7 linked regions of the Coturnix japonica genome follow. The main gene of each other region encodes a partner of the protein of the gene in region 5 in a complex. Links are inferred from orthologs where the notes say so. Each region holds a gene or a part of one and is shown on either strand. Other genes may lie near its edges. The genes, in order: CCNC, MED13, MED8, MED31, MED7, MED18 and MED23.

What was found.
Region 1: MED7 (region 5) and CCNC share a complex: the UniProt entries of both Homo sapiens proteins name them as parts of the mediator complex. The link is inferred for Coturnix japonica from reciprocal best matches to the Homo sapiens genes MED7 and CCNC.
Region 2: MED7 (region 5) and MED13 share a complex: the UniProt entries of both Homo sapiens proteins name them as parts of the mediator complex. The link is inferred for Coturnix japonica from reciprocal best matches to the Homo sapiens genes MED7 and MED13.
Region 3: MED7 (region 5) and MED8 share a complex: the UniProt entries of both Homo sapiens proteins name them as parts of the mediator complex. The link is inferred for Coturnix japonica from reciprocal best matches to the Homo sapiens genes MED7 and MED8.
Region 4: the proteins of MED7 (region 5) and MED31 are in contact, whole or in part, in a cryo-EM structure (PDB 7EMF), measured with the Homo sapiens proteins. The link is inferred for Coturnix japonica from reciprocal best matches to the Homo sapiens genes MED7 and MED31. Residues at the interface, in NP_001094286.1 of Homo sapiens: Met15, Gln16, Tyr17, Ile18, Lys19, Tyr21, Thr22, Asn25, Ile26, Lys33, Pro34, Pro35, Pro36, Pro37, Ile38, Lys39, Asp40, Tyr42, Met43, Met44, Phe45, Gly46, Gln48, Gln50, Asp52; in NP_057144.1 of Homo sapiens: Asn14, Arg15, Leu16, Arg17, Phe18, Gln19, Leu20, Glu21, Leu22, Glu23, Phe24, Gln26, Tyr33, Phe36, Leu37, Tyr42, Asp45, Ala47, Phe48, Asn50, Tyr51, Tyr54, Tyr57, Glu62, Tyr63, Lys65, Tyr66, Lys68, Tyr69.
Region 6: MED7 (region 5) and MED18 share a complex: the UniProt entries of both Homo sapiens proteins name them as parts of the mediator complex. The link is inferred for Coturnix japonica from reciprocal best matches to the Homo sapiens genes MED7 and MED18.
Region 7: MED7 (region 5) and MED23 share a complex: the UniProt entries of both Homo sapiens proteins name them as parts of the mediator complex. The link is inferred for Coturnix japonica from reciprocal best matches to the Homo sapiens genes MED7 and MED23.

What each region holds. Positions count from the first base shown.
Region 1 is NC_029518.1:64,955,311-64,958,810, forward strand, and holds part of CCNC (cyclin-C), read left to right. Parts: intron 1-645; coding exon 646-713; intron 714-1,041; coding exon 1,042-1,121; intron 1,122-2,483; coding exon 2,484-2,602; intron 2,603-3,106; coding exon 3,107-3,161; 3' UTR 3,162-3,500. UniProt on the Homo sapiens protein: Component of the Mediator complex, a coactivator involved in regulated gene transcription of nearly all RNA polymerase II-dependent genes.
Region 2 is NC_029534.1:6,168,710-6,172,934, forward strand, and holds the start of MED13 (mediator of RNA polymerase II transcription subunit 13), read left to right. Parts: upstream 1-1,425; 5' UTR 1,426-2,035; coding exon 2,036-2,101; intron 2,102-3,823; coding exon 3,824-4,058; intron 4,059-4,225. UniProt on the Homo sapiens protein: Component of the Mediator complex, a coactivator involved in the regulated transcription of nearly all RNA polymerase II-dependent genes.
Region 3 is NC_029523.1:17,388,685-17,392,658, reverse strand, and holds the start of MED8 (mediator of RNA polymerase II transcription subunit 8), read left to right. Parts: upstream 1-1,174; 5' UTR 1,175-1,254; coding exon 1,255-1,260; intron 1,261-3,200; exon of another isoform or gene 3,201-3,218; coding exon of another isoform or gene 3,219-3,224; intron 3,225-3,685; coding exon 3,686-3,804; intron 3,805-3,974. Other genes in the region: KICSTOR complex protein SZT2, read right to left, coding at 1-3, 606-779, 886-1,011, 1,145-1,174. UniProt on the Homo sapiens protein: Component of the Mediator complex, a coactivator involved in the regulated transcription of nearly all RNA polymerase II-dependent genes.
Region 4 is NC_029534.1:8,576,617-8,580,591, reverse strand, and holds the start of MED31 (mediator of RNA polymerase II transcription subunit 31), read right to left. Parts: upstream 2,801-3,975; 5' UTR 2,640-2,800; coding exon 2,630-2,639; intron 1,429-2,629; coding exon 1,351-1,428; intron 761-1,350; coding exon 664-760; intron 1-663. UniProt on the Homo sapiens protein: Component of the Mediator complex, a coactivator involved in the regulated transcription of nearly all RNA polymerase II-dependent genes.
Region 5 is NC_029528.1:6,561,722-6,565,239, forward strand, and holds MED7 (mediator of RNA polymerase II transcription subunit 7), read right to left. Parts: upstream 2,096-3,518; 5' UTR 1,990-2,095; intron 1,783-1,989; exon of another isoform or gene 1,755-1,782; intron 1,572-1,754; 5' UTR 1,554-1,571; coding exon 861-1,553; 3' UTR 501-860; downstream 1-500. UniProt on the Homo sapiens protein: Component of the Mediator complex, a coactivator involved in the regulated transcription of nearly all RNA polymerase II-dependent genes.
Region 6 is NC_029547.1:21,930,463-21,934,130, reverse strand, and holds MED18 (mediator of RNA polymerase II transcription subunit 18), read left to right. Parts: upstream 1-1,403; 5' UTR 1,404-1,516; coding exon 1,517-1,589; intron 1,590-1,755; coding exon 1,756-2,309; 3' UTR 2,310-3,168; downstream 3,169-3,668. UniProt on the Homo sapiens protein: Component of the Mediator complex, a coactivator involved in the regulated transcription of nearly all RNA polymerase II-dependent genes.
Region 7 is NC_029518.1:51,950,080-51,952,516, reverse strand, and holds part of MED23 (mediator of RNA polymerase II transcription subunit 23), read right to left. Parts: intron 1,669-2,437; coding exon 1,454-1,668; intron 643-1,453; coding exon 522-642; intron 13-521; coding exon 1-12. UniProt on the Homo sapiens protein: Required for transcriptional activation subsequent to the assembly of the pre-initiation complex. Component of the Mediator complex, a coactivator involved in the regulated transcription of nearly all RNA polymerase II-dependent genes.

The sequences.
Region 1 (3,500 bases), on a different chromosome or scaffold from region 5:
TCCTTTCAGCAAGAAAGCGAGTGTTTAACAGTTATGCCTCAGAGATGGCTTAGCAGGCTAAATAATACAAAGGGTATACTAGTTAACCTATGCACACGTGTCACTGGCTTAAATTATTGTTTTTAACCCTGTAATGGTTTCTACTTTGAAATGCTCTGGTTTTTATTTTTAGAACAGCTCCAATAGCACCATTTTTACACTGTTAAATGTCGACTTTGTGTAGACACAGCTATCTTTCTGTTAGAGTCAGCTTTCAGTAAAAGCAGTACATGGTTCTGTTTCTTAGACTGGTAAAACAGAACTCCTTAAACACTTTAATTGTTTCTCCAATACAGACAATAAAAATACTACCTTTACTTTTGCTTCAATTTGCTTATTTGCGGAGCAGGGATAATTAATTTATGGTAGAAGAGAACACACTCTGCAGAATGGCACTGATGATGTTATAATAGTGTTTCCAAACAGACTTCTGCAGTGATTGCAAGGAAAACAATGGTTGTCTTTAATAGACTTTTAAAGAGGAAGAGATCTCACTTTCTCTATTTTGCCCTGTATACTCTTTGTTTCTACCACATGGGTAACTGGCAAAATGTTTATGAATCATGTAGTCTAAAGGAGTTGTTATGCTCTCTTTGTTTTGCACAGGAGGATAGTGAATGACACGTATAGAACTGATCTTTGTCTGCTGTACCCTCCTTTCATGATAGCTCTAGGTAAGTAACACAAGTAACGTCACTGTCACCTTTAAATAGATGCCTTCTGTACTTTGTCCCATCAACAAGTTTTCCTTAGTACGCTCTCTTAAGCTTCTCCAGTTTATATTTCATACAGTACTGACAGTATAACCTTGCAACTTAGAAAGCCTTGAAGAAAAATCAGGTAATTAATCCCCAGATTTCTTCTTTGAAAACTCGCTGAGATTTTTTGCAGAGGAACTGAGGAACTCCAAACACCATAGAAAAGTACCTGACTTGGAGAGTATTTCTAAGTGTATTAAGAGATACTCAACAATGATTCACTCTTATCACCTGATCTTTGCAGCTTGCCTACACGTGGCCTGTGTTGTCCAGCAGAAGGATGCGAGGCAATGGTTTGCTGAGCTATCTGTTGATATGGAAAAGGTACTCTCTTTTTACCTCCTGCCCTCTGCTATGGACTGACTAGAAATGTTAGCAGTGGTTTGAACCTGTTTTGCATGTGTGTGATACTGATTTGAACTTCATTCAGCAATCGCATTACGGACTATTGAAATTAGGTAGGAGATAGGAAATGTCAGGTCATTTGGGTATCACTCTGCACTGAAAGACAAGACATAAGGGCAGAGCATTGCTGCTGTTGCCATTTTACAGACTGAAATAGAAAACCAGTATCTTGTTTGTTTATTTAATTTTTTTGCTAGAAGAAAAAAGAATTCCCAATATTTATTGCTCAAGATTGAACAGTATTCTAATAAACAACATATGTTTGACATGTAAGGTTATCATAGGCTTGGTGTTGAATGTGTTTGAATGTTTAAACGTTTCTGTTCCCATTACCAGTGATTACATCTAAGCTTGATTTTTTTTAAAAAAAATTAATTTTTAGATTATTATTATTATTTTTAACCTTTAACACTATGGAACTTCATAGCCAAACATAGTTTCTGGTTCAAGGATGTATATTGTTCTAGCATTTGATCAAAGTCCATAAACTGGAAAGAAGTTTACTTCATTAATTTAGTAAGTGGCGAAACAAATAATGAAGCAAACATGGTTTGATTTCTGGGTGGCACTTTGTGAAGCTGGAGTTGGACCTGATCCATGTGGGTCCCTTGCAAGTGGGGTTATTCAGTATTTATCCACCTTCTGTGTAGAATATTGCACTAGAAAATTAACAGGAAATTAATGTAGCCTCCAAACTGGTAGAGAATATTTATACTTCTGGAAATAGAGTTTGAAAATTCAACAGTTCTTATTATAAAGTATTGAGACACTTCCTAGCTCTTGATTTTTTTAATTTTATTTTTATTATTATTTTGGAAGTAAAGAATTCAGGGCACCGTTGGTTGGTTTCATTTGTTTTTAGTACTGTGCCCCCATGGCTGGTATAGAACACAGACAATAATCAGTTACTTCATTTGTAATCCGTAATCATTTAGCAACAAACACGTTGCCAAGTGTCCTTGTTTTCCCAGTAGCATCAAATATAAGCAGCCGTTCGACTTTGGGAGGAGAAATGGTTGATAAAGTGGGAGGGAAATGGAGTGGGAGAGAGAGATATTGGTTCTGTCAGGCTTCAGTTCAACAGTTAAGCCAAAAAACTCTTTGCAAAAATGGTTGATTGCCAGACCGGATTATATAGGAGACAGCTCTGTTTCTATCATGAGAATTATGCTTCTTAATTTGAGTTTGAGAAATGGATAATTAACTGTACACTGCAAATGATGATATAAATATAAAAGTCACTATTGTGATTGACCTAAAATGTACTTTCTTTCAAATCAGATTTTAGAAATAATCAGGGTTATTCTGAAGCTGTATGAGCAGTGGAAGAACTTTGATGAGAGAAAAGAGATGGCTACTATCCTTAGCAAAATGCCTAAACCAAAACCACCTCCAAACAGGTACCATACCTCCATTATTTACTGCACCTTTCATATGGGAAAAAATAAAGTATTATCTTATGTGCTATGTTAAGTTTGAGGCATAGTGTATGACTGCACTGCCGGCTTTCCTCTAAGTACCCAGTCAGACTGTTCAGGAGGAGAATATTTGCTCTTTCATGGAAAGCAGTAATGTAGTTAGAATCTGATCAATACAGTTTAAAAGGAGCAGTGTGAGGCCTGATGAAAGGGCACGATTCTTTAGAACAGTGCCTGTTTGATGTCATGTTTAATTGCTGTGATTAAATATCATTACGTGGAATCTGCACGTGCAAATTCCTATGTGTGAGCTTCTGTTATGGGAACTCTGAAACGCTGATTTCAGGAGTGAATTCAGAATGGAGTTGCATTGGAATATTTTGAAATCGCTGTTCAAATACATGAATAAATGTTTTCTGTTTGCAAAAGACAGAAATGCAGTACGGTGCTGCTGTTCTGAGACGTGTTTCTTTTCCTTTCAAACAGTGAAGGAGAACAGGGTCCAAACGGTAGCCAGAACTCTAGTTATAGCCAATCTTAAGACATTCCAAAGAACTTCTTTACGGACCACTTTGACTCAAGACATCCTGGGATCTTTCCTGTGTTCATGAAATGGACAGAATTTTTTTAATACCATCTTTGACAAAGAACTTGAAGAATAAATAGCTTGTTTGTGTCAAGCATTTTGGAAGTTTATTCTTTAAAACTGCATCATTTTCTCTGACGCTGGAGCAAATGTACTAAGATTTCTCAGTGTAAGGAATCAAATGTTAAACCAAGCTGCAGAAGGGTAACACTGTCCACTCAAAACAAGTAGTTCATTACTGGTTTGGTTTGCTTTGAGAAAATTGTGGCTTGCCATTAAAAGTGATTTTTATAT
Region 2 (4,225 bases), on a different chromosome or scaffold from region 5:
GAAGCCGCCCGGTGTCCGCGGCGCGGCGCCCTGCTTCCCCCGGCGGCGACGGCGGCCATGGCCGGGCGGACCCACGTGACGGCACGTCGCCCAATGAGCTTGCGGCAGGGGGCCCCGACTTTCGTCCCTGTGTCCGCCATTAAAGAAAAAGGGGCTCAGAATTACACGGCGGGAGGATCGTGCCCTGAGCCCCGACCCGGCCGACATTCGACATGGGGGACACGCGCTGAGGGGGGGCAGCCGGATGATGAACACGATGCCGCGGCCGGGCAGCCGCCGACAGAGGCACCGCTGAGGGACAGCGAGGAGGAGGAGCAGAGCCGGGGGCTCCGGGGCAGCCCAGCAGCAGCGATAATCAATCAGCGATCAATCAATCAATCAGCGATCGATCAGCGGCCGACTCGTCCTTCAGTCGGGGTTGGGGGGTGGGGGGGCTCCGAGCCCGTTCCCTTCGTGCTGAGGAGCACAGCCCGGGGCTCGGCCGCCGCCTCCCCGCCCTCCTGACGAGAGACTTCATCCACAGGAGGAGGAGGAGGAGGGGGCTCCTCCGCCCACCGCCCCCGCGCAGCGCCCGGAGCCCCCCGAGCCCCCCGCACCTGAGGAGAGCGGCGGCAAGAGCCCCCCCCTTATTCCTCCACACACATCCCCCCCCATCGCAGAAGAAACCAACCGGCTGAAGATCATCATTTGATATTTTTATTCTCCCCCTCCCTCCCTCTCCCCCCGCTTTTTTTTTTTTCCTTTTTTTTTTCTCTTATTTAACCATTATTTTTTAAGGGACCAGTCCCTCCTCGCCTTCCACCTCGGGAAGGAATTGGGGGGGGTGAAGGGTTGAGGCTTGTGAGGGTTTCGTTGCGGCCCAGAGGCCCCTCGCTGCCCGCCGTGACCCGGCGCCGGGTTGGGGGGGGGTTGGCCGCCCCCTGAAGACTCAGCGATTCCCCCCGACGGCTCCATTGGGACGCTCCGTCCGCGCCCGACGAGACTCCGAGGGCCGCCCGCAGTTCCAGCCCCCTCCCCCTCCTTCCCCCCACGGACGGATTCTCACCCTCTCCACGATCAGCGCTGATTTCGGGGACGGGGCCGTTTCCCCCCATCCCCCCGAGGAGACTTTTGCGGCCTTTCCCTCTCCAGGATCCCCCCCTTCCCTTCCTTTTCCTTTCCCCCCCCCCATCAGCTCCCGCAGATGGTTTTTGGGGTCTCCCCCCCCCAGGACGATCTCCTCTCTTCGGCCTTCTCCAACCCTTCCGGCTCTCCTCACCGCCGGCCCCTCGCGTTTGTTTTGATGATTTTACATTTTTAATTTATTGGCAATTTTTTATTATTATTATTATTTTTTTTTTGGAGGGGGGGAAAACGAAGAACCCCCCCAAGCCCCCCTCCTTTCCCCCCCCCCCTTTACGCACATATACCCTGTTGCCCTCGGACTGCGAAGCCACGAGCCCAGGATCGGGCCCTACCCGAGCGCTGCGCTGTTGCCCCTTTTCTCCCCGAAGGAAGAGGAGGATTCATTACCCCGTTGGATTATTTATTTCCCCGCGATCAGAGGAAGGAGAGATGCCGGCCGGGTTCTCCCATTAACCCCCCCCCAGGATTCGTTACCCCATTTTCTCCTGTTGGATACATCACCCCTCCAGAAGAGGAGCGGGGATTGATCCCAATCTGCGCTGCGTTACCCACCGCCTCCCTCTGTCCTCCCCTTTGCCTCCCCTTATCCTCCACCCCCTCCTTCTTATTTCATATCCAGACGAGAAAACGCTCTGAGTTTCTCTTTAAAAAATAATAACAATAATTTTTAACCCCCTCCCCCCCCCATTCCTCTCTCTTACACCCTCCCGGGTTATTTATCCTACCACTATTCCGTGTGTGTATGTGTGTACGTAAAGCCCTTATTTAACTGCATTATTATTTGTGCGTGTGCCTCGCCCCCTCCCCCGTCCCCTCGCAGTGTCTGTCTCCCTCTCCCTCTCTCTCTGTCTGTCTCTTTCTTTCTTGTCGGAGGCTGTGGGATAATGGCGTGTGGGTTGTGGCTGTGAGGATGAGTTCCTGCTTCGTGCCGAACGGGGCCAGCCTGGAGGATTGCCATTCCAACCTCTTCTGCCTGGTGAGCGCCCGAGGCCGCGCACACGCGCGACGTGAGCGGAGTGGGAACGGGAGGCGGCCGGGGGAGGGGAGGAGGAGGCCGGGCAGTGGCAGCAAAGCAGCCATTTTTAGCAGAGCTTCTGCTGGAGGAGCCCTCGGAGCAGGCCCAGCCGGGCGGCAGCCCAGCTCTCTCCGTGCCCCCCCGCCGCCTCGCCTCGCCCCTCCCTCCGCTTTCAGCCCGGGCTTCGCGGCTCCGGCCCTGCCCTCAACTTTTTGGGCTTTCTTTTACCTCTTTACTGAAGGGAGCTGTGCCTTCTCCCCTCGGCCAACTTTCTCCTTTCCCTTCCCGCTGCACGCATCCCACGGCCCAAACCCTTCTCCCTGCCTTTAAGCCACCCCCCGCCGCCTTTACCCCGAGACCCCCAAGCACTCTGCAAAAGCCTTCTATGCGTTGTGCACCATTTTGTGCTCTTTATTTTTCCTTCCCCCCTCATTCAACCTCAGTACGAAATTGTTGGGATTTTTTTCCTTTTGGTAGCGCAGATTGGATTTCATTGGGCTGTGATGCAATTTGGGTGCTGCACTCACCTCCTTCATCGGCTTAATGCAAATCGGCCGATATCAGATGGCTGCCCGATGTATTTTATCATCATTGTTATTGAAATCATTATAAGTAAAAGCATCCACCGAACCAACAAAACCTATGCCAGGCTGTGGGAGCTGCTGGATGGGGGAACCCCTTTGGGGCCTGCAACCCATTCTGCTGCCACCTTTGTAAATCCAGGCTGTCTGAATGTCAACTGTTGCAGCCCCCGTAGCTTCCATCTAAATTGTTTCTCCTCCTCAAGGTAGAAGGCTGCCATGTTAGGTTTAAATGTTGCAGTGATCTTAGGTGGAAATCAGTAACTTGTTGGCAAGTAGCACCTCGCCTCCGTGCTGCCTTCTTGATGGGAACTAAGGGGCATTGCAGCCCCAAAGGGCCTTAAGGCTGAAGTGCTTGAGGGGGAGAAGCTCAGTGTTAGAACTTAGTGTGGTGCTGGGTTGGGGATAATCCAGGAATTGTCGCTTTCCCTCTAGGTATGGTGGTAGCTCTTCGCTCTATAAAGTCGGATGAAGCTTTGCCCAGAAGGGGATTTAGTGGATCATAACCAATGATGTGTAATTTAATGAGAGAAACAGGATTTAAATTCTTAAAACGTGGGGTGGGAAATGAAAAGCGTGATGGCTCAGAGTGAAATAAGTGAGCTTGAGGAGCTTCCTGCACACGATAGGGAATTTTACAATAGGGAAGCAGTGAAATCTTCTGAAGTAGCAGAGGAGTGGCAGAACGTGTGGCTGAGCTGGGTTTTTTTTCCCTATTTCCTGTATCCTCAGAGTAATCTTGGATTTCAAAAGGCAGCGTAAGCAGAAGTGAGCATGAAGTGAGTGGTTATTTGCTAAGGCGAGCGCTTCTAAGATTGGACATTTGGAGCCTGCAAAGAATTAGCTAATTGTTGCTCGTTTTTCATTTTTTGTTTTAAATCAAATGGGGTGTTTTTTTTCTCTGTCGCTTTAAAGCTGCAGTGAAAACGCTCAGCTCTCACTTTACTGCAGCTATTAGGAGATTTAGAAACCAGGTGCCTGGTTATTTCCAATTTACCTTCTCAGGTGCGCAGAGCTTAGAAGCGTGGTTCCTGTTACAGCTGGCTGTTTCTATTGGGAACATACCCCGATGTCTGATGGTTTCTTTTTTTCCTTCCCTTAGGCTGATCTAACTGGGATTAAATGGAAGCGATACGTATGGCAGGGTCCAACGTCTGCCCCCATTCTCTTTCCGGTGACGGAAGAGGACCCTATTTTGAGCAGCTTCAGTCGCTGTCTGAAGGCAGATGTGCTCAGTGTTTGGCGCCGAGACCAGAGACCTGGACGCAGGGAGCTGTGGATATTTTGGTGGGGTGATGACCCCAATTTTGCTGACCTTATCCATCATGATCTCTCAGGTAGGAAGAAACGAATACCTTCTTTTGGTCAGTGCTGTTACTCCTGGTGTTCTCCTGCCAGCCCTTACAGAAGTCTGTGTGAGATAAACTGTTGTCTAGAGATAAGATAAATGTATTCCCATAATCTACAACTTTGATTTTATGGTGATAATGGGAAGAACTGTCAG
Region 3 (3,974 bases), on a different chromosome or scaffold from region 5:
ATCCTACAGAAACAGAAGAGGAGAATTATAGAATCATTATAGCTAAGATTACCTTGTCCAACCATCAACCCATTCCCACCACACCCACTAACTGCACCTCACATCTCCACAGCTTTTGAACACCTCCTCAGTCCTTCTGACCACACTAGTTCTGATACAAGCCAGGATGCCTTCTTGGAGACCTGGGCACACTGCTGGCCCATGTTCAGCCAGCTGTCAGCTAACACTCCTAGATCCTCTCCCTCCATAAAGCTCTCAGCCACAGCCCCTAAATCAGCAGCACTGCATGGGGTAAACAAAACAGCTTTTACATCTTCTGGAATCTGCAATCTCATTGCACCCACCACACAGAGACAAGTACAAGCCTATTTCTGCAACAGCAGCTGCCTCAGAACGACCCCTGCAAGCAGAGGTCACACATTCTGCAAGGAAACAGGATCCACTGCAAGGCTGTGTTGCCAGCAGCAGTGCCTGCTTCAGCCCTCAGGAACACAGGACCCCTGCAGGAGTGACCACTAATGCAGGGACACACATGTTCTCAGCAGAGGGAACCAAGCCTGGTCCTTTAACACAAAACACCCCAGAGAGGCAGCTCCTGGACTCACCACGATGCCAGTGGAAGGGCTCAGATCGAGCTCAATGACAAAGCGGTACTGGCGGGCCAGGAACGTAACGCGCGTGGAGGGCACCAAGAGGTAGGGCCGGGGCTGGACGGGCTCATCCGGCTGCCATCCGTTGGGCAGGATGCTGAGCACATCCAGCTCGTTTTCTGACTTCAACTACAACAAGAAGCGAACGACAAGCATGAAACATTACTCCAAGCCAAAGGACACGCCGAGATGCAGGGCCACCATCCACCCTGCAGCACCCCCGGCCCCCACTCACCAGCTCGGGCTCGGGCACAGCCCAGATGACCTGGTGCAGCCGGCTGAGCACCCAGGCGAGCCGCACGTTGCGGGAGATGCGATAGTCCTTCTTCATCAACAGGAAGACGTGCCCAGCCTCCTCCACCTGCAGCAGAAGCACAGCGCCTCGTCACTCCAGGCCGGGCACCACCACAACCCCCGACCTCTCTACACAGTTCCCGGTCTCAAAGCCGCAAACAACCCCGCCTCCCCTCGCCCCGCAGCGCGTTACCCCTCACCTCAGCCTCGGGCCTCTCGGCAGCCGCCATGTTTGCCCGGCGGCCCCGCCCCGCGCCCTCTGACCTGACTCGGAAGTGGAAGGCTGCCATAACAACAGGGCCGCGCAGCCATGCAGGTGAGGGGCTGTATGGGGTTGAGCAGGGCTGTATTGGGCTGGGCTGGGCTGGGCTGGGCTGGGCTGGGCTGGGCTAGGCTAGGCTAGGCTAGGCTAGGCTAGAGGGAGCAGTAGGCCCGTATGGGGTTCCGCTGTGCCCCGTGGGCCGGGCTTTGGAGGAGTAAAGCAGTGTGCCCAGTTGTTCGAGAAGGTCTATGGTATCTTGGCTCGTGGAGGCTCAGTGTATCCTATAGGAGCGGGGTGGTGGGCGTCCCTCTGTGCTGACATTGGTTGAGGCCGCATCTCGAGTGCTGCGTTCTGTTCTGGGCCCCTTAAGCAAGAAGGGCATTGAGACCTGAGCGTGTCCAGAGATTGCGACAGGGAAAGTGAGGGGTGGAGGCATTACAGAGAGCAGCTGGGGGAGCTGGGATGGTTCAGTCTGGATAAAAGGAGGCTCAGAGGGACCCCATGACTCCCTTAAACTCTCCAAATATTTACAATGGGGTGGAGGTCGGCCTCCTCTCCCAGGTAACAGTGACAGGATCCCTTGCTTTCCTAATAAATCCCATTATTACTTTGATTTCCTCGACTTCTTGAGCCTCAGGCTGATGTTTCCCTGGGTTACCCTCGGATAATCCTCAGATCTTGTTTGTGAGTGATAATGTTATCAGCTCAGAGAATGTCATTGTGTGTGTGTAAAGTCAGGGTTGTTTATTTCTCTTTGTTTCATTGTGTGTATTGCTTTATGTTTATTCTGAATTTCACCTTTACCTCCCAGTCATTCATTATCAGGAGTTCCTTCAGCAGTCTCTCCCGTAAATCCTATTTTATTACCCTGGGACAATTCAGTATTGTTAACAGACTCCTTGAATTGCTGCTTGTATATGTCTGTGAGAGGCAGAGTATTTCTTTGAATCATTGATCTTGGTGCACGTGTGCTTTGCGGTGCTTAAACTTACTTCCAGCTCTCATGGAGAGAGCACACAAAAGGAGGAGGCTCAGACTGCACTGTCACACAGTGTAGTGTGATTTCATTCACAATCTTTAGGGCTTCTTGGATACGCGCTGGCAATGGGCCACACCAGTTGTCTTGGTTGTGTGTACCTGCCACCTCTGCAGTGAGATACTGGCTCCCAGCCCAACTCGTAGTGCTGTCAGTGGTTCATCTTGCTCAAACACAACGTGCACAGTCAGCGTTAGACTTGTTTCTTAAGTGCACAGGAACAGACTAGTCCCATCACAGGATGGCGGAGAGCTGCAGTGCTGTAGCTGTGAGTTGTAACCCCGTGGTTTGCTCTGTTAATCCATGCTGTGGATTGGAAGTGGATTTTAGCCACATTTATTTTGCCATTTCTTCTAAGGTAGTGAAGTCTTATCAGCAGTCTATGGAAAAAAAAACAAAACCTTTATAGTCTTGTCAGACCGTGAGTAGAATAATTTCATGTTCTCTTAAATGTGGAAGATACTTGATGATCTCATGCTAGTTTCAGTTTGTTTAAACAGCACAAGGATCCCAATAGTGAGCGTGCAAGCAGACTGAGTCACCCCATCTGCTTTCCCAATCAGCATTCCCTTTCTATTATTTAACTGTATTGCTGTGTCTCACCCTCCTCGTGGATTATTGTTGTACAGTCCTTGACTTACATTAGCAGTCCATTAGGATTGGGGCTTTAATTACATTTTGTGCAATTCTGTTGAATGAGTAAGAATAGATAAGGTTCTAGAGGGTTTTCGCAAGAGTCGGAGATATTCTGTGCTATATGTGACAACAGGTCTCCTCTCCTATTGCTTTGTATGTCACCATACTCCTCTCAGCTAGGGGAGAAGATTATTTAAGCAGTGCACCAAGGCAAAAGGCAGCAGGTGATCTCTGCATGTGTCTAACTACGTCACTGACACTGCAGCGCCTTCCACAGCTGGTAAGGGACAAGGAATTTTTAGGAGCTGGATGCAGCACCTGGACAGGAAGAAAGTGAGAGATGAGGGTAAGGGCAGAAACTGGAGTCTTTGGGCCACTGATCTGATACTTGTTTTGCAAATGGCTGTGCTGGGTGAAGACATCACTGTGCCTGCTGTCAAAGGGTGCTGAGAATGCTAATCTGCTTTCAGCTGGGTTAGCATGAATAACTCACGGAGGTGGTGCAAGGTAACTTTGATGACTTTGCCTGATGCAAGTGATGTATAGGCTTTACTTATCTAGATCTTAAAAATGACAGCTAGCCATGGGTTGGCTCAGGTACGAGTCTCTTCCTAAATGTTTCTTACAAGGAGACAAGATAAGTGTGAAAATGTAGGATTTTTATCTACGTGGTCTCTGTTTCCTTGCCTTGAAGAGGAGTCTCTCCATAGGAGAGGGTGGAATATGGTTGCAGATGTATGGATCCCCACAGTCCTTGGAAAGGTACAAAGCTTTGTCCTCACCCCTATCTTTCATTCTTTTTTTCAGAGAGAGGAGAAGCAGCTGGAGCTGACCCTGGAGGCACTCATCAGCCAGGTGGCTGACCTGAAGAACTCATTGGTCAGTTTTATCTACAAGCTGGAGAATGAGTACGATCGACTCACATGGTAAGGCATCCCACAGAGACAGGGCACTGTCACTGATCGCTGCTGAAGCTCTTCTAGACTCTGCCCAAAAAGTGTAATTAAAAGCCACTAACTTGCTCTCCACAGGCTTACCTTCACTTTTCATGTTAACGTTGGTGAAACTACTGAGTATCTCCCACCCGAAAAACAGT
Region 4 (3,975 bases), on a different chromosome or scaffold from region 5:
AAGGTGCACTAGAACTGGAGTCTCCAGTATCTCTCCATTATTTTAGTCATTTAGTGCCTTACTCAAGTACCTGAAACAGTGAGCGCTGTACCTTTTCCATACACTGTAACTTAATACCTTCAGTAACTACAAGGCTAGAAAACAGGGAATCCAATAACAATATAAATACATACACGGAGCTGATTAAAATAACTTTTATAAATACTAGATTTCATTAAAACAAAAACTAATTAATTAAATAGCTCTTTCCAGAGCTCATTTGAAGTAAACAAAAAAAATTTCAATAACTGAGTTTAAACATTAATTAAAAAAATGAAAAAAAACGATTCTTTGTGTAGCTATCAACAGGGCAAAAATCACTCTCAGAATGTTCTTAATGGGCTGAAGTAGTTTTGTCCCGTGATGTTCAGTAATCTTGCTTTATGCAGATAGAAGGTGCAGATAAAGGTTGCAAATGGAAAATTCCATGCATATGTCAAGAATGAAACGTTCTTTAATTGTGCCTATCCCAGACTACAGGAAACAGGAAAATTTATACTGCATATAAACACAGTGCATGTTTTGGCTGCAGGGAGAAATCAAATATGCACATGCTACTTTACAGTGCATAAGAGAAGGTAAAAATCATTAAAATGCAGAAACCTGAGGGCTTTTAATACTTACTTCAAGTATTTTGCATATTCAGGTTCTTTCCAATACAGTAAATATTTAAGATAGTTTACAAAAGCTTTGTCTTTGAAGTATCCTCTTTGTGCAAGAACTGAAATAAGAGACAAGGAATTTTTTACAACTCAATAAAAAAAAAACACAAAGGGAAAAATATATCTTAAGTCAACACTCTAATACAAGTTAAGCATAGTGAGTTAGCATATAACTTTTATACAGCAACAAGGATGCGATGTCTTCAAAAATAGGAACTTCTGACATCAAAACTGTCAGGGAAAACCAAAGAAATTAAGAATTCCACCTGAAACTATTATAAGCATTAGTGAAATGTTGGTTTCAGATATGAGTACTTCTAAGATTGAAATGTAATTATTATTATTTATTTTCTACTACAGATGTGCACTTATTCTCCACCAGACAGTTGTGTTTTATTTCAAGAAATAATCATTTCACATTTTAAAGGTGTCATCTCCTCCCTCTTCTACCTCACCTTTGAAATTCGGACAAATTAAATTATCCTCAGACTACTTTTTTCCTTAAAGATCTCTTCCCTTTTCTTTGTTTACCCTTCGCCTCTGCACACACACACACACACACACACACACACACAGTTTACCATTACACGTAATCATTAAACTGTTAAATAACATTAACTTCTCAGGATCCCTGACATTAAGTACTCACAGTTGAGGTAATTGGGATTTGCTAGGCACTGAACAAACTCCAACTCCAACTGGAACCTAAGTCGATTTCCTGTATCATCTGAATACAAGAGAAAAAAAAAAAACAGTAAAAACTGGACTTACATGGCAGATTTAAAAGTAAGTTTCTCAACTTGAGCCACAAAAATAGAAACGTTTAGAGAGGAGATAAAGCACCAAGAGCCCACAAGTATGGGCTCATCTAGCAGTCTTTTCTATTACATGAATAAGTGTTGGGCCCATGTTAATACATGTACTATTGTTTGTTTGTTTTTTTAACAACTAAAAACGATGCAAATAATGGAGAAATGCTCTCTGACACTTTATGTAGAATATATGAAAAGGGAAGGGAAAGGGGCCTGCTTTTAGTGCAAGGAAAATATAAGAAGGCAAGAAAAGAACACTACCAGCAGCTCACTGAAAGCCTCCTTGCACATAATTTAAGAAATGCTTACCGTGAGGCTGCTTTTTGTTTTGTTTGTTTTGTACAGAGATGTCTCAGTTTAGTGAGAATCCTGCAGTGTTCTCACACTATTGGTGTACAGTAGGCACTGATGACAGACCCAGGGGTCAGCACAAGATTCTGCTGTCCTATGACAAAAGGGTGAGGGAGCTGGGCTTGCTCAGCCTGGAGAAGGCTCAGGGAGATCTCACTCTGGTCTTTCAGCGTGGAAAGGGAGCTTATAGAAAAATATGTTGACTTTCCACCCTGACTGAAAACAACAGAACAAGAAGGAACAGCTTTAAACTCAAACAATAGGAAACTCAGGTTAGATGTTAGGAAGAAATTCTTCTCCGAGGGGCGGTGAGGCCCCGGCACGGGCCGCCCCTCTCTGTGGGGGCCCCATCCCTGGAGCTGCACAAGGGAAGGCTGGAAGGGGCACCGCGCAGGCCGCTCTGGCGGGAGGTCCGATCTGTAAATAAAGTCCCCTCCATCCAAACACTCGGGGTCTATAAAAGATTCAGCTCCTCGACCACAGATGCAACGTGGGATGTCCGCTGCCATGGCGTCCGGGCAGGTAAGAGCCGCGGTGTCTCCATGAACGTCGCGAAGGGCCCCAACGGGGCCAACGGCCTGAGAAGGGCCAAGCCGGGAGGGCAGCGCAGCAGGACCGCCCCGGGCCCCTCCCGAGGAAAACGATTCGGAGCCTGTCGGCCCATCGCTCCCGAACCGCCCGAACTCTGCACGGCAGGACCACCGACGCTCTCCGTGGCCCGGAGTCGCTCGCCCTGCCCGAACCGCACCGCACCGCGCCGCTCACCTGCGTCCATGGCGGCGTGCTGGGCTCCGCTCCCCGCCCGGCCTCAAAATGGCGGCGGGAGCGCCCGCTGTCGGCAGGCGGGAGTTAGGCGGGAGGCGCAACGAGGCAAGATGGGAAGGTCTGTGGTGGTGAGGAGCTGCGTTAATGATGCGAGTTGTGTAGAAAATGACCTTTTGAAATAAACTAAAGTTGGAGCAACTTTTTTTCCCCTTGTCTTGAAAGAGAGCTGTTACCAGACAGGCAGTACGATTGGAAGGTACCTGTAGGAGCAATGTTCTGGGATGGATTTTTTCCTAGGCATGTGTGTGCTTTTCTTTCTTCCCTTTCCCCTTTTCCTTTTTCCCTTTTCCCTTTCCCTTTTTCCCTTTTCCCCTTTCCCGTTCCCTTTCCCCTTTCCCCCTGGCAGCTCATGCTGAGCTGATCTCACACAACCTCTGCAGTTTATTTATTAAGAAGTTATGTCGTAGTGAAACCAGTTAAACAGATGCGCCAGGGGTGCAGAACAGCACTATGCTATTGCACCTGGAGAAGAGTTCAGCACTTAGGTTGCAGATTTATTCCTAATGCTGCATTCATGTCTGGGGTCACACACTGGATGTTCATATCTTGGTTAAAACAAAGACTGGTGGGGTTTAGCACTGTCAAGCTACCTGAGTTCCATTGCTGCTATGATTGCATTATTAGGCACTTGTGTAACAGTTTGCACTATACAGGCTCAACACGAATCCTAATTCTTTTTTAAAATTTGTGATTTGTTAAACTATTTTCAGTGTCTCAGCATTTTCCTGTAGTGCTATCTCTTTCTATGTAGTGTAACTGTTCCCCTCCAGCCCCAATAGAAATTAGGCTATAAGACCACCTAAAAAAAGACTTCTGCATTGCTTTCCTTAATAAAATAATTTTGTGTTTTGTTTCTTTTTTCCCCAAGGTTTTAGTGGTTGTGGAGTACTACCATTACTATAACAGAATTAGCAGGTCACTCCCCAGTAAATACAGACTTTTGTCTAAAAGCAGAGATCAAACATATCCCACGCATTGGCAGTGCTATTCTGGAACACGATGTATCTCCCAAGACTGACTTCAGAGGAGAGAATCCTAAGAAAGGCTTGGTCACATGAATTAAATTACTACGTAGGTTTGCCAGAGTAAAGTGCAAGAACGCAATTCTTGGCCATCAAAACTAGGAACAAAATTGAAAGTTGGAGTCATATTACAAAAACTAAGAACATTCTCTAGGAAAAGCTGGATTTATTTATGCTTTTAAATATTAGCTTAGTCAGACTTTCAGGGAAGAGGTATTAAGCTGTGTGTTTGAGCCAAGAATTTTCCTTTTTATCATCATCAAA
Region 5 (3,518 bases):
TTTAGCTACAGCGATCTCAATCCCACCACCCAATGGTTAAAATCTACCTGCACATTTAAATAAATCTGCATGCCTGAAAACAGCTGAATTATCCAAGTTATAATTTGCATAACGAGAGTTACAAGTAGTTATAGTAAGTTCCCTCATCCACAAAGTTGATTGTTTCTTTTCTTTCTCTCTTTTTTTTAAAGGTGCTACATCTAGTTTGGAAAGCAGACATGCTACAGACAGGAGGGCTTGAGTAACGAAGCCACTTATCCATTATCAAATCACTCTTTGTGCCATGGGCTTGATCCAAGTCCAGTTCTCTTTAAACACAACTGATGTAGCTTCCATTTGACAGACTTCAGGCACAGACAAGTTACACCACATTACATGTGTAATAAAGCAATTCTTAAGTTCTTTAACATTGTTACATTACTACAAAAAGTTAGAAAGGAATGGATTTCTCAGGCTTCATATTGATTTCATCTTCAATCTAGAATAACTGAAAAGACCCATTTAACGTGTAAACAACTAACATTTATTTGAAATGCAGGAATTGTCAGCTTCCATTTCAGTCAGCCAAACCCCCTGCTTCCAGCAGCACACGGCATTTACAAAATGAAGCACATCCCAGAAAGCTGCAAGTGACAAAACAACGTTATACAAAAAACCTAACAGCATCCACGCTGCACAAAGCAGAGTTATGTTTTGACCAATACACATATAACTCACACAAAATATTAAATATCCTCACCTGCTTAGCAGCTCACACCCACCCCCCAAGTCAGTGTGAACGCTTCAAACAAAATACAGCATGTACCCTCAGAATCCATTTGGCCTCTCTCTATTGTAAGTTAACATAAGACACGATTCCTTCATGTCATTTCATCAATAATGCTGCACATAGCTGCATCTTTGTCTAACACCTGATCTCTCTTGCAGCCAGAACGTTCTCTCTGTTTTTCACTCTGTCCAATGCAGTTGTTGCCGTCATCAGTGTCCATTGGTTCTGTTTTCACTCCCAGTCCCCCCTCTGAATGAGGAAGATCATCAGGCAAGGACGCCAGGCAGTTCTGAATCATCTCCACAACTCGCTCTAAATGCTTCTGAAATCGCTCTGCAGTTTCCAGACGCTGACGTTTCTGCACTTCCATCATGACTCGCAGGGTCTCCCTAGCTTGGTGAGGACGGTACTCGTTTATAAGATGATGGACGTGAACAAAAAGCAGTTTCAGGTCCTCCAGTTTCTCTTCTCGCTTTATACTCCCCGGACTCCTTATCAAGATATCCAAGAGATCCAAAAAGTTGACTAAGATAGACATGTTCAGTTTCCTCAATTCCTTTTTGTGATCAAACTGCATGGGATGCAGCCGCTCAATACCCTGGCTTTCCAAAGGTCGGATAATTAAATCGTCACACTGGAACTGATTACCAAACATCATGTAACTGTCTTTCACAGGTGGAGGTGGCTTTGGGGCCAGACCTTTGCGTATGTTTTCATCGGTGTATTCCTTTATATACTGCATTGGAGGCGGAGGGAGGGCACTCACTTGCTGAGGTTCACCCATCTTTGGGGATTAAAATACCTAGTGGATAGAAAAGAAACGTGCATTACATAACTTATGCGACAACTCCACAGCACGCATGAAGCTAAGAAAACAAACCAGACAGGAGATTCTTCAGCACGCAAATAGCAGGAAACTCCCCAATAAATCCACGTCAGCTTTGCACTGACATACACAGCACATTAAGCACTTCTCAAACCAGACCTGCCAACGAGGAGGCACAGAAGGAAGGAGAGGCCTGATCCGCTAAGCCCGCATCCCAGGGCTGGGAGCGGCAGACAACGGCAGGCAGGGAGAGGCAGCCCTTAAAGCAGCACCCCCCTCCCCCCCGGCCCATCACTACAGCACGGCTCCGGGAGGGCCCAAAGCCGCAATGCTGAACAGAAACAAAGGCTGGGCCGGTCCTACACACAAGGCCCAAAGAAAACACCCCACTCACCTGCACACCGCGCTGAAAACACCACCGCCACCACCGACACCAACACCTCACATCCGGCAACTGCTCTCCTTCCTCCTCCCCTCCATTGGCTCGCAGCTCAAATGGCGTCGTAGACTTTGGTTGGATGCCCGCAATGCCAGTCAGGAGCTCGTTCCACTCACAGCCTGGGCTATGGCGCCCTATTGCGGCTGCCAGGGGCACGGCAGGGATCTCAGCGGGGGTCCCAGCAGGGTCCTCTAATGGCAGAGATCCTCGAATGGCAGAGATGGGAGCGGCCGGCCCGACTCTTGTCGGCATCAGACTCCCTGTGAGACCAACTTCTGCATGAATTGGTGTTTAGTATTTGGTATTCCAGGACTGCTTTCATAGACTCGTAGAACTGCCCTCGTTCAGACGCTTCCTGGACTCTGGTGAGCTCAGTGCCCAGACCGTGGGGAGCCGCCGGTGTGATGGCAATGCTTTAACTGCTGAATGATGCAGGGAATATATGTAGAGCTTCCATGCAACAGAAATTTGGGTGTTATTCCATCACAAAGTGAAAGCATCACCCTGGGAAGTGTTAGCATCCTTTCTATAGCTGAACACATGCAGCCTGGATGCATAAAGTCTGCAACAAACCGATGGAACTTCTTGCTTTTCTTCCATTTCTTTGTTTAAGACAGATTTTAAGGAAAAAAACAACTATCTGTGTCTTCCATATTGCCGTGGGACCTCGGGCTGGCTGGCAGCGCTTCTGCAGATGGCCACTGGTCTGGCAATGCGGCTTTTGTGCTCTGATTTCCTTTTTTCCTCAGCAGATGGCAGTAACCTCCTTCATAAGAAGGAATAAGGGTAAGAGAGCCGCTGTCTACGTGCCCTATCAAGGGCAGAGTTGTTTCTAAATATTACTTCAGTGCACTCTCACTACTTTGTAGGATTGGCAGGTGTTGGTTTGCAGAGCAAACTGTTGCAACTCCAAACCCCACAGACAAGGAGTTAAAAGCACCACTTCTAGAGAGGAATGAGAAAACCCACCTGGTGGGGGATATTAACAAGTCTTTGCTATTGTTAGACTTTCCAGACTTTGATTTCACATTCTCATACCACGAGCTGAGCTCGATTATCAGCTGCCTTGCACTCTGTGAACTGCTCAGTACAGCTCTCAGTGCTGTGACTTCAAAAGGTAGCAGGGAGCCAAGCATTTGTTTTTCACACGTCCTTTTGATCTTGAGTCATTTTCCTAGTTTGCACGTAGAGGCCAACAAATGCAAAAAGAAAAAGGGGTTTCATTTTCATTCTTGGTAGTATGACTGAGATGACTGAGAATGAAGGTGAGTACCACACACAGCATTCTCAATTTTGCTTTCTACTCCATTTCTGTGGTTTTCTCAAATAGGGACACTGTCCAAGACAAGTCCACCAGTGATAATACAGCTCAGTTACTACAGATCTGTTGGAATGAACCCAAACACCACTTCAGCAGATGGGGAATCACTTAAATGAGGTTCTCTGCCACAAAGATAGAAGACCTTAATTTATTGCTTTAGTTA
Region 6 (3,668 bases), on a different chromosome or scaffold from region 5:
GTTTTGGATAGGAGTGCTGCATTCAAACAAGAATCAGTAACAGATGTTTACATTTCTTTTAAAAGAAGTCTCTCAAGGCACGGTGTGTTGGCATATTACAAACTATCTTTTGTTCTCGGTGTTTGACACTTATTCCCCAGGAAGAGGTGTGAATCTACTGCTTACACTGAGATAAATGAAGTCAGAAAATCACACTGTTCTGTAATACTACAGGGTTGGGGTTGTTTTGTTTTTTGTTTTATTTTATTTTTTGCTTTAATTCCTTTTAAACTTTTTTGAGGGGGAATATTTATTTTAAGATTTTTTTTTTTTAATGGAATGTACTAATTAAGGGAATTCAGTGAAATGTCATGTTAATGCAACAGATTTTGTATTAAAATTCTGTACTTGGACCAGTGAAGCAGTCTCAGGTGTTCTTAATGTAATATAGAAAACACAGGCGTGTTCTGGTTTGATTCACCTTCTGGAAGGTTGCTGTCAGCATCACCCTGTCCAGCTGATCATGGGAGGAGAACTGTTCATGTGCTTGATGATCTTCTTAGGGGGCAGAGGTGGTGGCAGATCAGTGGTTTGGCCTAGATGTGTTCGCTACAGGAATGTGGTGGAGCTTTTAAACGGGTGTCTAGCAGAGGTGCTCTTTAAAATTCAGCTTCAATGTAAGTCATATGGGTTGTCTTGTAGTGCATCACCAAATCAACATTATTGTAATGAGCTCACAAAGCTGCTGTGCAAGCATGAAGACGTACTACATGCTAGATATGCTACGACAGCATGCAAATACCATGGATGCACATCTTCCTGGAGTATTGTTAATAGCTGTCACTTTATTTGAGGAAGATCTACTTTATTTCTGTGTTCACTCAGTGAGCTTATTTAAAGTAACGCTGTACTGACAATAAACAGTGGCTCAACGTTCATTATGATGGATTTAACTGGCTGTAGAATTAACATTTTGTATTATGACTAAGTCGTGTACATTTTGGTACAGAACTTCTTTTTCAGTTTGAGTAAAATAATCCTAGATTTACTGGCTTAATTGTGATACTTTCAGATTACCTCATGATGCAGTGAAATAACCTAGCAAACAAAAGGTTAAGGAAAACTGTCCAGCATACAGTGCAGTATTAAAGACTGAAGTGGGTCTGTGATACCAGCACTTCTCACCTGGTATTGCAGAAGCCGTTACATTAAAAAAATCCCTTTACAAGTACATCAAAGTAAGAGGAGAACCAAGGAAAATGCCCAACCTTTACTTGATGCAGCGGGGAACGTGATCACTGAGGAGAAGGCTGGGATTCTCTGAGGAGGAGAAGGCTGAGTTCCTCGATGCCTTCTTTACATCTGCCTTTAAGGGGCAGTGCTGTGTGCTTGGGGATGAATAACTGGATGTCTGTGAGGAGGAAAGGGAGCTGGTCGATGTTCGGCTGCTCCTCACCGCCAGGCCGCACTGTGGCGCCCGCCTCCTCCTTCAGGCCTTGCCTTTCTTCCCGCCGCCATCTTTACCACAGCCGCCAAGATGGAGGCGCCTCCCGTCACCATGATGCCCGTTACGGGCGGCACTATTAACATGATGGAGTACCTGCTGCAAGGTATGGCCGGCACACAGGGGCTGTACACGGGGCTCGGCCGCAGCGTGGGGCCGAGGCGGGCGGCGAAGGGGAGGTACCTCCCCGCGGAGGCCCCTTCGCCGCCTGCCTCGGCCCCGCGCTGCGGCGGGGAAGGGGCCATCGTCTGAGCCGTGTGTGTCCACCACAGGGAGCGTCCTGGACCAGAGCCTGGAGAGCCTGCTGCACCGCCTGCGTGGGCTGTGCGACAACATGGAGCCGGAGACCTTCCTGGACCACGAGATGGTGTTCCTGCTCAAGGGGCAGCAGGCCAGCCCCTTCGTGCTGCGTGCCCGGCGATCCATGGATAAAAGCGGCATGCCATGGCACCTGAGGTACCTGGGGCAGCCGGAGATCGGAGATAAAAACCGACACGCTTTAGTGCGAAATTGTGTGGACATCGCCACCTCGGACAACCTGACGGATTTCCTGGTGGAGATGGGGTTCCGTATGGATCACGAGTTCGTGGCTAAGGGACACGTGTTCCGAAAGGGGATCATGAAGATTGTGGTGTATAAGATCTTCCGTATCTTGATGCCTGGTAACACGGACAGCATCGAGCCGCTTTCCCTCTCCTACCTTGTAGAGCTTAATGTTGTGGCACCAGCCGGACAGGATATGGTTTCTGATGATATGAGGAACTTTGCAGAGCAGCTGAAGCCTTTAGTACACCTGGAAAAAATTGACCCTAAGAGGTTAATGTGATGAAAACTGGCTTGACTATCATAGCATTGCTGTAGCCAGAAGTGAGTGCAGGGACTGGTTGGAGTCCTATGCACACAGAACTTTTGTTCAGGGCTCCACTGCTTCCTCTCTGTGCTGGAGCAGTAAGCAGTATTAAGGTGCAACACTTATAAATAGAGATATTGACTTTATGTTGTTGGGGAGCAAGGGGTAAAAGGCTTTGATGTATTGGTTTTGTTTTTGTTTGATGCTCAGCCAGCATTTGGTATTTGGTTATGCAGGTTACATATATGCATAAGAGCAGAATGTATGTAATTCCCAGAGATGGAAGAGAATAAAAGTCTGTTTAGTGCATTATTCATTGGATAGTCGGTCCCTGATGTCTGAAAGGAGTAGTTGCAGGAATTGCTTAGTTTTAGATTTGAAAGACCTGAAAGATTCCCTCCTAGCAAATCCAGACTGGGAGCTGTTTGTTATTGGAAGCAGCTTTGTTGTTAGTGTAGAACAGGAAGCTCTGGGTCTGCAATTATAACCTGGGGGGAAGAAACAGAATTAAGACCCTTCACAGCCAATATGTTGGCTCAGAAAGTTGAGCCCAGTGCCCCCGAATGTGCCTGTAGAGAGTCAGGTGGATGGGGCCAGGCTTTGACTGTTGTTGCCCAGTGTTGGGACACAGGAAGGTCCATCTCAAAGTGAGGAATTACTGCTTCATTTGGGGGTGACGTGGAGCAGGCTGCACAGAGAGGCTCCTTCCTGCTTACAGCCACTTCCATCAGCCCAGCACGATGCATTAGTTTCACAAAAGCAAGGTCAGGCATCCCACTATTTCTGTGTTTTTGTGCTCTTTGTATGTTTTATTAAAAATATATCTTCAAAAATACCCGTCAGCTATTTGCATTAATTTTGTATTTTCTTTGCAATTCTTTTTCACTCAATACAAGCCAGTATTTTGGGCAAACATGAAGTAGTCTTCATTTCTCAAGATCATTATGGAAACGTACAACCACGCTGCCTTTTACTAAAACACACCAATTGCTGTCAGTCGCTGTCATGCTTTAACAGCACGAATGTTGCTGTATCTCCAGCACTCCTCAGCCCTGGGTCTCCATTCTCCCCACACACTCTCCCCTAATGTTGTTATTTCTGTACAAATGAACACAGAAGCTGAAGTACAACTTTGGAAGCACTCTATATTGTCTAACATGCTTCTGATATGCGAGTGCAGGGTGAGACGTTTCACACATCAACAGCTTATGTGGATATTCCAGCTTTCACTTCAGCAACCTCGGTAACACAGTCAAGCTGCTTTCTGCTAAGTGCTTTACATACACTGTAGTGTATGTGTATGAAGCGGCATACAGCTTCAGACACAACCCAAGG
Region 7 (2,437 bases), on a different chromosome or scaffold from region 5:
GGCCACCCCAATCTGTCTCCAAAAACACAAAAAAAATGAAAACATTTTAATGCACTTTACACTGGAAACAGTTATACAGCTTAAGAAATGTGTACTGCTTTTAAAGTATCTGCATTTCTTAACTGTTTACTTTCTTTCAAGTACAAATGGACAAATGAGCAAGACTAAACAATCCCATTATGGTTAACCACATGGTTCTTTTTTCCTAAGTGGTGTATTGATGAAACTGTGGTATATGGGATGCAAGCAATAGTTAAACACCACTGACTGAATGTATGCTGTGAGTAAAAGCCTATAAAATCCATTTAAGTATGAACAGTTAAGAACAAGTTTTGAAGCTTCTAGAGAGATGCTGACCATGTTTACCTTTTATCTAGACCATGCTTGTTTTTAAAAACAGTTTTATTTGTATAGAATTCAATTCCAGATGTTTATGACACATCTCTGTCAGACTTTATAATATAACTGCAGTGCAAAAATAATGGATGCTGTACAACGTGATCCAAGAGCTATTACTTTACCTCTATCATGCATCGTGTCCTCTCCTGCTGGAACCGCTGTAGAAAAGGACCGACGAGGTGGTAAACATAAAGCAGCTGGAACTCTGTTTTCACTATGGGTATCAACACTTCTGTGAGGAACCTGTAATATTTCCAAAGTACTTATTACTTCAGCCAGACGTTTTTCCTCCTTTTGCCCAAAATTCAGCTAAGGAATCAGATTATCTCCGATGGATCTGAGCCTTTGTTTTAGAAATTACTGTGATGTTTTGAAAATATTCTCAAAGAGAAAAGCAATCCCACCTAAGCATAGTAGAATGCTATGTACAGTGGAAATGCTGTCCTCTGGAGTTTTAACATTACGTTTAAATCAATGGTCACAACCAATTGACAGGAATTCATCATACCACCTCCACTTTTGCCCAGTACGTTAAAACTTGTTATTAGCAAATGATAGCTGTTAGTCTTACCATTAACACAGCACTGTGGAAAGTCAAATCAGTATTTTTTTTTAATGCAGTGGTACTTTTCCCTTGCCTTAATGACTAAGTGGGCCACTACTGTGTCATTCAATCAGCAAAGCATCTCACTGAGCAGCTACAGGGTACTTTCCAGAATTAAAGACACACCGGCCGTAGCTGACACCTTATAATTATACCACAATCAGCACTTTAGGAAAAGTTTAAATGAACAAAAACAAGCATACAACTAATAGAAATTTTTCAAAAGGCAGTCGTGAAAAGCAATCACACTCTAGATGAGAGCTCTGAAACTTACAGATAATAAGAGCTATGCTGGGGGGGGAAAAAGGGAGCTGAAAAAGGACTCGTGATTTATTGAGTGGATTTCAGTGCAACTCCCTACATATTTGCTGGTATAAATACTACAGGTACAGCTTCAGTATATACAACATGTAAAATTGAAAACAAATAATCAAATATAATTACACCTACTTGGGAATGAGAGACAGCTGTCCAATGCTAGAATGATGCCAAACAGCATGTGCCAAAGCCAGAGTGTAGCTACAACTCATCTCAGAGTAAGACTGATGACATGCTGTGAAGTCAAACAGCTGGAAAGGGTAACCAACCCACTCTGTCTCTGATGTCAAGCTGGGACTATTGATAACACTCACAATGTGGTCATGGAGAACAATCCAGTATGGTTCCTGGAAAAACAAAGAGTCTTAATTCTTTCTGCAAAGAGCATTATAGACAACAGCAGAGAAAGGATGAGAAGCACTGTTATATTTAAGATGTTTTCAACTAGATAGCAGTTTATATGCCTGTTTGATGAACCTGAAAATTAAGATGCATAATACAAAACAAACACATCCATGTCTGTGGATGGGGTACACTCAAGGACATAATGTTATCACAACATATTTCATTAATTTAATTATTTAGAGAGCTACTGTAAAAGAGACCAAAAGGAACAGAGCAGACGTTAAAAGCCTTCATGGAAAGAGACCTAAAATTGTCTGAGTACAAGCACAGACAGACCAAAAAACATGAAAACAAAAAGCAAGGTACAAATGTCAGAGAGTATAAACAAAGGTTCGAGGAAAATGCTCCAGAGAAATCCATGGATCAAAAATAAGAAGGACAAAATCCACGCTGTTTTTTCCTCCTCAAAGAAAGAAACCACTTTGAAAGAAGAAGGTCACAAGGACAACTGTTGCACACATAGCCAACAAGAAATAAGAGAAAATTATTCAGCCTTTCCTTACATTCAGAAGATCAAAACATCTACTGAAACATGACCACTAATACTGCAATCACTTGCTTTTACAGTCTTAGGTATATTTATATAGTTTAACAATATTTCGCAGGAAGTTGAGAGAATGATATAAACACATACAGGTAAAGGATATGTAAGTGTTAAGACAATTACATTCCTATCAGAAGCCTTATAGAAAATTTTGAGTTTGTAGTTCC